2 linked regions of the Nothobranchius furzeri genome follow. The protein of the gene in region 2 interacts with the protein of the main gene of each other region in a pairwise test. Links are inferred from orthologs where the notes say so. Each region holds a gene or a part of one and is shown on either strand. Other genes may lie near its edges.

The links.
Region 1: the proteins of rabac1 (region 2) and trim32 interact in binary tests that used the Homo sapiens proteins (3 or more experiments, as listed by UniProt). The two-hybrid records come from large-scale screens. The link is inferred for Nothobranchius furzeri from reciprocal best matches to the Homo sapiens genes RABAC1 and TRIM32.

Annotation. Positions count from the first base shown.
Region 1 is NC_091746.1:55,651,995-55,656,251, reverse strand, and holds the start of trim32 (E3 ubiquitin-protein ligase TRIM32), read right to left. Parts: upstream 2,815-4,257; 5' UTR 1,865-2,814; intron 1-1,864. UniProt on the Homo sapiens protein: E3 ubiquitin ligase that plays a role in various biological processes including neural stem cell differentiation, innate immunity, inflammatory resonse and autophagy.
Region 2 is NC_091745.1:74,795,232-74,799,214, reverse strand, and holds the start of rabac1 (prenylated Rab acceptor protein 1), read left to right. Parts: upstream 1-1,145; 5' UTR 1,146-1,280; intron 1,281-2,271; 5' UTR 2,272-2,285; coding exon 2,286-2,407; intron 2,408-2,484; coding exon 2,485-2,697; intron 2,698-2,840; coding exon 2,841-2,938; intron 2,939-3,145; coding exon 3,146-3,247; intron 3,248-3,366; coding exon 3,367-3,455; 3' UTR 3,456-3,983. UniProt on the Homo sapiens protein: General Rab protein regulator required for vesicle formation from the Golgi complex. May control vesicle docking and fusion by mediating the action of Rab GTPases to the SNARE complexes.

The sequences.
Region 1 (4,257 bases), on a different chromosome or scaffold from region 2:
TTATAGAGCCCTGTAAAATAGAAACAAGTCTGTCTTAGACTTAGATGAAAATGTAGACCTTTTACATTTTCATTGTGGAATTATTAAAAATTTAAAGCACTGAGAAAAACTGAATCTGGAAGGAAAAGAACTATATGACACAAATTATAATGCATTTCTATGCAATGTATTGAATGTGTAATTTGGGATCTGAATAATCGCAAAATGATTTAGTTGACATAAACAACTAGTACAATTATTTGACACAATGTTTTGCAAGCATGCTCATGTTGAGATCCTTCATGTGAAAAATGCAGACAAAATTGTAGAAGGAATGCTGAAACTTGCATATTTTGTCAATATCTATGAAACCTATAAACAATGTTTATGAATTTAGAAAACAACTTTGAAGTAAGTTTTATTGGAACTTAATTGATTGAAAACGCAAGAAAACGTAAGCGTTGGAAAGTTGAGCCTCATCAACGCAGAAAGCACTTATGCTAGCTCACTTTCGTATGACAACTTTTCAGCAGAAGACAGCCAGGGGTTCAAAAAGACTATTTTGAACAAAAAATTTAAAAACAACATTATAAGCAAATTAACTGTGTTGCACCCTCGGGGACTTCCAACGACTAAATATGTAAACTACGAAACAGCAGATAAAACGAATTCCTGAACATCATCAATCAGCCAAACCTAGTAAATACAACTAAAGTTTACTTACGTAAAAGTTCATATGCAAAAAGTTTCTACTTAACCAAAGAAAAGACTTTCTTTACTCCCATGTGAGACACTTCAGAAAAGGGAAATAATTTATTTTTAATTATTTACAGGCAGATTTTTAAGTTCCTTAATAAATTAAACATTTTTTAAACATCGATTTTTATTAAAAATGAGTCAACATTCATGATATTTTGAGTGTTTTTCCATTAAACTGGTAGATAACTAACGTGATGGAATATTTACCTGAATAAACTTGATGCAATTATTATTATTATTTTTCCATAAACAAGCAGCCCTAGTCCCACATTTGCCATGCCTCACAGCTGAGTGTTGTATAAAACTAACAAATTATTACCGCATAGCACAACATCTATAATGAAAAGCTTACTTTGATGATGTTACTTGAGTAAAAACTAATTAAAATGATACATATTTCACATCAGAAGTAGTACATACAAAAACTTAGCAAATATTGGCTGTTGTTTCTGTAAAAGGAAGATTCCAATGAGTTTATGTACATAAAGCTAAAAGCCACAAGTCCTATCAATGGTAGTTTAATAACTGAACGCCAGCCGACTAATCAAGATTAATGATTCAGTATTTATAGTTAAACCTTTTGGTTTTGTATGAGCTGAGGCTGATGGATATATTAAATAAATTTCATCATTTTACCACAGCCAAGATCTAACGTTGCTATGCTAGCACTTTCATGATTGATATTAGCACAGGTAGCTAATAAGTCACGGTGTAAATAAAGGATAAACTCAGCGATAAAAAGGAAATAAACTGAAAACAAGTCGCATCTGGAGTCTGGTTTGAGATGAAATATTGCTGTGAAGTGAAGCTAAATAACGAATAATGTAAGGCTCTCTGAAATCTAACCGATAAACGACGTGATTTAGTCACGCACCAACTGGGCAGGCTTAAATAACGTTCCCACTATTTTGTTGTTAAACACTAATACATTTTGCAGTTTATGCAAAGAGCGAATAAAAACGAGGCCTCTTCACATCACAGCAGTTGTTGTCATGGTGGTACTTAAACGCAACGCGACAAATGAATGTATTTTCATTCAATCACGGGGCTAATTATGCATCCATGACTTAAACAAAATGTTCATTTTTAACGTTTCCTTGTAGGCATTTCTGCTACGTATCCTTACCTTTTCTCCGGTGCTTGCTTAGATTACTTTGGGTGTGCAGCCAGCCAGCTACAGTAGCTGCTAGTGAAGAACTGCAGTGTTGACGTTGACGACTCCTCCTACGCAGACGGCGTAAATTACGATGCAAAGCTCCGTTTGTTCTGTCTGATTGGCTGGTGCTGGACACGTGTTTAACGCATGATGCGTCAATTATGCATATTATTACCAACAGATGGCAAAAATAGTATACAACTCACTGCATATTAAAGTGAATGCCGTTTAACTTGGTTGAACTGGTAAACTAAGCTGAGGAAGAGACCCTCAGAGGTGAAAAATGCTTCCTGAACATTTTTTGTGAACGTGTTTATGAGGGTGGTTTGTAACTACAGGTAATGGCCACTAGATGTCAGTATATATCTACTAGATTATGTTCATTCAGTTATTCTTTGGATCATGTTTTTAAAACCTAGAAGATGTGTCTAGTTTTCATCAGAAAAAGAAAAATATTTCAAATTGCTATCAACACACCAGTTTGAAACACTTGTCGTTTTGTCTCGCATTTTTATTTGTATGAATCATTTAAACTATTCTGTCTCAAAAATAGTTACCGTAAATCCTCTAATACAGGCCCGGGCCTATATTTGACTCAAGCTCATCAAGCTCCAGGCCTTTATTGGAAGGAGGGCCAGAATTAGAGGCAGGGCTCAATTTCTATTTGAGCAAAATGAACTAATGGTTCGCTGGAGTTTTTGACAATTAAAATTGTGCCCACATTTTCAAAGTTAAACACATTTCTTTTAACAACGGTAGTTTCTGCTTCAGCCCTCTCCCCCCTCCCCCTGCGCAGCGGCCGCAAACTCACTGATGCGCCTGCAGCCTCTCGGAGTTCCTGCTGCTCTAAACATTAAAATAATTATTTCATTTTCTGTTCCTCACTTCTGATTACCTTCAATGGTGTCTGTTTGTTGCAACCACCAGGTACAAATCTAACTTGTTTTTATTTGACTATTTTTCTGTCCTGTATCTGTTTATTATCTTCCTGCATCTCCTCTCAATCCTAAAGAAAAACTGCTACCTGGGTTCATATTTATTCACCTTATGAGTTACCTTTGAACTGCAGTTCTAAAAGATCTACGGACCGCAAAAACAGCGGAGTGCGCGCTGCTCGCCAGCCACATCAGTTAGGTGCATCACCGAGGACAAAACAGGTGATGCGCCCCGATCCACAGCAGCGAAACGCATCAGGCACAAATAAAAGAATAAAAGACAGAAAACATAAAAGGAAATGAGCCGACATGAACAATCGCATGTTAAATTAGTTTTTGAGGTGGCGACACCTGATTTGATAATGTTACTGTGGCCGTGCTCAGGACACAGATGTCTGGAGCGCGTCAACAATCAGAGCTTTGCATGCGCAAGCTGGTTAAGGTTAGGATGGGGGTGAGGGGAAGATTAAATCGCAAGAGGGTAAACGTCACAATTTGGTTAAATGTCCGTTTTACGGTGGGTGTCAGTACTGACGCTCTGTCACAGCGCGTTGCCTCCCGACGCGCAGGAGCTTGTCACCTGCTGACAGCAGGCTGCTGTCTTTTCCATGGACTGCATCTTGCCGGTCATTATCACGTGACAGCGACTAGTCGATGACAGGCATAAAAAGTCACTATAGAGCGGTGAAGTCGACTAGTTCATACAACCCCTGCTACTGCTCCCCAGAGTGTTCTGCAGCATAATCAGCACGTTCTCTTTGAACTTGAAATCAAATTTTTGCCTCCTCTTTGTCTCCGCACGGTTAAAGTTACCCTCGCGGTCTATCACTGGCAAATCAAAAGTGAGACGGATGACACAACCGCCCCCTGTACTTGCTTGTTACCACATTCCACCCAGCCACAATAAAAAAACAGCCATTATTCACGTCCGCCGACTCCGACACCGGCCAAAATATGATACTGGCAGTTAATTAAATACAGGCTAATATTAGAGGATTTACGGTAAATTGGTTTAATGAATCTGATCCAGCACAATTGTTTATTATAGCAATAACATCACCACAAAGTGCTGCAGAGATCATGTGTACAGATACATCACATGACACTTCCTTATACCTACTCCACATGAACACATGAATAGGAAAATAAAAACAATATGTAAAATAATAATAATACTAATAATAATAAACATATGTTTTATATAGCGCTTAATATAACTACTTAAAAACAGTGTGTGTATATATATATATATATATATATATATATATATATATATATATATATGAGAGAAGAGAGAGAGAGAGAGAGAGAGAGAGAGAGAGAGAGAGAGAGAGAGAGAGAGAGAGAGAGAGAGAGAGAGAGATCTATGGTGCCCGTAGTCATCGGGGCAGTAACCCCCAAACTGGAGGAGTGGCTATAGCAGATCAC
Region 2 (3,983 bases):
TAAATAATCTATTAATACTGATTGTTATTGGAAATTAAACAAAAATATAAAATATAATTAGCTTTTTTGGGGAAAATGCAACTATTTACACCATATTTTCTGACATTATTTATACTTATAGTCGACTAAGTTATAATATATATGTGAGATTTTGAAAAAATATGACATAGAAATGTATTTTCCTCGGGAGTCAGGATATAAAATGTTAATGTACGTGAGCTCAGTGTGTGTGGAGCTGAACATTCCTGCCTTTTACCGTTTCAGCTTGACGCTCTCCACACACACGAACCAGTCAGCGGTGTCGTTTTTATCTTCAGGCAAAATGTGTATGAAAGCAGCTGGAGGCTCCTGAAACGACTCGTTCCTCTTGTGTTACGGTTTTACGCTTTATACGAGTTTATGTATCCTGTCACGGTTTCTGTGGAGAAAAAAACGGTCATTAAACACCCAGCCAGGACAGCTGTTGAGCTGAGTAAGCTAAAGAGCCGAATAAGCTAAAGCTAACGGAGCCAGCGTAGGCTAATATGCTGCTATGGCGCTGTGTCCCCCTTTAGTGCATTTGTAAAAAAAAACGCGTACATTTTGTTTTAGCATTGAAACGTTACTTTATTAATGACTAACAAAAACAGAACTGTCATAAACCCCAAGGTCTGAAGATTACATTTAACAACACGTAAAAACATTCCAACAGCTAAATTTGATAAGATAATTAATAGCGCCTCACCTTCTAATGTTTGTTTCCTTTCTTTCGCTGGCGGATCTAGCAACTTCCACAGTGCCGCGTGCCCAGTGACGGCAGCACCACAACACTCGTCTATCTACCAATCACAGCCTCTTTGTTTGTTACATGACGTAAGGTCACGTTTTTACCATTTCTGATCTGCAGTCAGTTTTTCGTGCTTGTGTGGTTTTGAGCAGCCACCGCAGAAAACAGGCAGCCGATCTCAGGTCGGCTTTTTCAACAGATGTGTTTTCGGCTGTTAAGAGAAAAAACTCCGTTTTTTGGATGAAGTAAAAATAATGCAAAAAAATAAATAAATAAAATAAAAAGTAATACAAATGAAAAGTTCCACCTGTGTTGTGTAACACAAAATTCGAAGTACTCTATGTAGCCAGTAGGTGGCCCTGCCTAGAGTCAGCGAAGTAGGAAGTTTTTTCTTCTTCTCCAGCAGCCACATCACTTCCGAGATCCAGAACAGCAACAAAAGACAGCTCAGGCTGTCTGGTGAAACTTCTGCCTACATTTTGGTGAATGATTTAAGGGTTTAGCATTTTGGCAGGTATGTTGTAATTTAAATTCTTATTTTAAAAACAAGTGAAAATTACGTTGACGTTAAATAAAATCCGGAAGTAGACGTAAACATTAGCTCATAAGCTAGCATTTTACATTTACATTCAGGTTTTAAATAGACTCGTCGTGAGTATAATATTTATATTTGAAATTGCTACTTCTAGACACTGTTGTTTGGTAACGAGAGTTTCTCGGTTATCCTGTTTATTTAGTGATGTGGCACTGGCCGGGCCCTGTTTCTACTTCTTCCTGTTTCTCTAACTAAGGATCGCCATTAAACTAGAAAGACATGTAATCATTAGACAGTGATTGTTTATACACTTGAGACCGTTTTAGATTATGACGTGTCAAATGTGGCGTTTTAAAATACGAAAAATCAAAAGTTAGCTCCATTGACATTTGCGATTATTGCTTTCAAAACAGCTTAAGAACCAGGGAGGTTTACTGGGAACACGAGGAATATGAAAGATAAAATAAGAAGTGTTGGGGTTAAAACATGTGTCTACAGTAGATCTGAAGGTCAATGAAAATGGTGCAGTTATAGAAACGACCATATGTCAAGTTTTCAGTCAATATATCTTTTGGAATCCGTTTTGTGTGTGTGTGTGTGTGTGTGTGTGTGTGTGTGTGTGTGTGTGTGTGTGTGTGTGTGTGTGCTAAAGTACCTTTTTTTAATTTCTCAAATTGTTTAATCTTTGGTATTTTGTCATCGATTCTAATTTAAAAAATAGGATTTAAATGTCCACTACACTACACTACACCAGTTTCAGAAATGTTTTATGCCTGAAGGATTTATAGACTAGAAATAAGGGGCTTCATAGGCAAAAAATAATAATAATAATACATCTACCAGAAAATGAGTGGAAACGCAACCAAAGTCTAAATAAGATGCTACACCGTTGCATCAAATAAAAATGAGTAAATCCAGGCTAATTGTTTTTGTAAAAGTTTAGTCCACATTCAATGTGATTCTGTTTCAGTCAACAGTCTCTAAATGTTATCTGGAGTGCCTAAAGGGGAGAACGTCATGGTGGACATGGACAGCAAAGCTGGAGATTTGTTCATCCCAGATGAGGCCCATCCAACCGGCACAGGGGGCATCGGAGTCCTCTCAAGGTGTGAACCACCATGCTTTCATATTTTTACCCTGGCTTTGGTGTGTTGATGATATTCTATTTTGTTTATTTTTATAGGCTCTGGCTTCCTAAAGGCATCTCGGCCAGCATGGCTAAGGAGTGGTTCGACAGGCGCAGGTTGTCCATCCGACCGTGGGCCAGCTTTGTAGACCAGCGCAAATTTTCAAAACCTCGCAACTTTGGAGAGTTGTGTCAGAGGGTGGTTAAAAATGTGGAAGTTTACAACAGCAACTATACCTTCATATTTCTGGGGCTCATCCTCTACTGCATGTAAGACCTAATCAAAGAGAGCTTCATTAAAACAAAAAATGTTAATTAGATCATCTGTGAGACTCTGGCTTCTAGAAAAATGTCGACAGTCTGCTTTAAATAGCTCCAGCCTGACAGCCCTGTTCATTTTTCCTGCTCCTCAGTATCAGCTCGCCCATGCTGCTGATTGCCTTAGCCGTGTATGCTGGTGCCTTCTACGCCATCCACCTTAAGTCTCTGGAGTCCAAACTGGTTGTTCTCGGTGAGTACATTTCCTACAAATCCATAATCTTTTCAAATTTACCAGATTTAGTTTTTTTTTTTTTTTAACATTCAAGGTCTATTTTTTTTTATTCTGTGTGAAACCTTTTAAATATGTCATCCATGCCTGTTCTGGATTTAACCCACGCTGCATTTAGCACCACAAACCCTATTTTTAATATTTTTCTTCATATTTCTTGTTTATCAGGCAGAGAACTGACAGTCCCACACCAGATGAGTCTGGCTGGAGCCGTTTCTCTGCCCGTTTTCTGGTTGGCAGGAGCCGGAGCCGCTGTGTTTTGGGTTCTCGGTAAGCTGAACATGATTTGTTCTTTCCTCGTAATCTTTTTCTGATGTTTCATCTTGATTAAGAACTAAAATCGTTTCTTTTTACATCCATTTTTCCTGTTCTGTGTGGTTTCCTGTCAGGAGCAACTCTGTTTGTGATCGGCTCTCATGCTGCGTTCCGAGAGTTGGAGGCGTCGGACCTGGATGAGCTCCTCATGGAGCCGGTCTAAAGAGCTGCTCCATGATCAGTCCTCGTTTTGACCCTTTGAGAATCTCCTTGAAGATTTTTTTATATCTATACATATATCCTTCTTCCTCATGTTTACCTTATGGCATTGTATTACGAATGCACCTTATGTTGCATGATAAATAACTGTTGTTACACAAATGCATAAATAATGAATTTCTTATTGCTTGAAGCACATTATTCGCCTTTATCTGCATATATTAAGCCTGCGATGCCTCTGGTTTGTGCCATGAAGCCTCTTGCTCTTTAGCGGAGCATCTGCGCTGAATTCCTAGCTGTGGGCATCCTGCAAAGTAAATTCTGACGGCACCATCCAAACTGCTGGTATCGACGCATGTCCGAAGGTCAAGTGCCATTTAGTTTTTTAATTAGTTTTGAACATTATGTGGCTTCTCTTTTTATTTATTTGATCAGCTCTGGTTCAGACATTCTGGTGGGAAAGGTCACGAAAAGCACATTTTAGAAATTCATTTGTAAATTATGCGTTCTGTGCTGAAACGTTGGAAGTGCA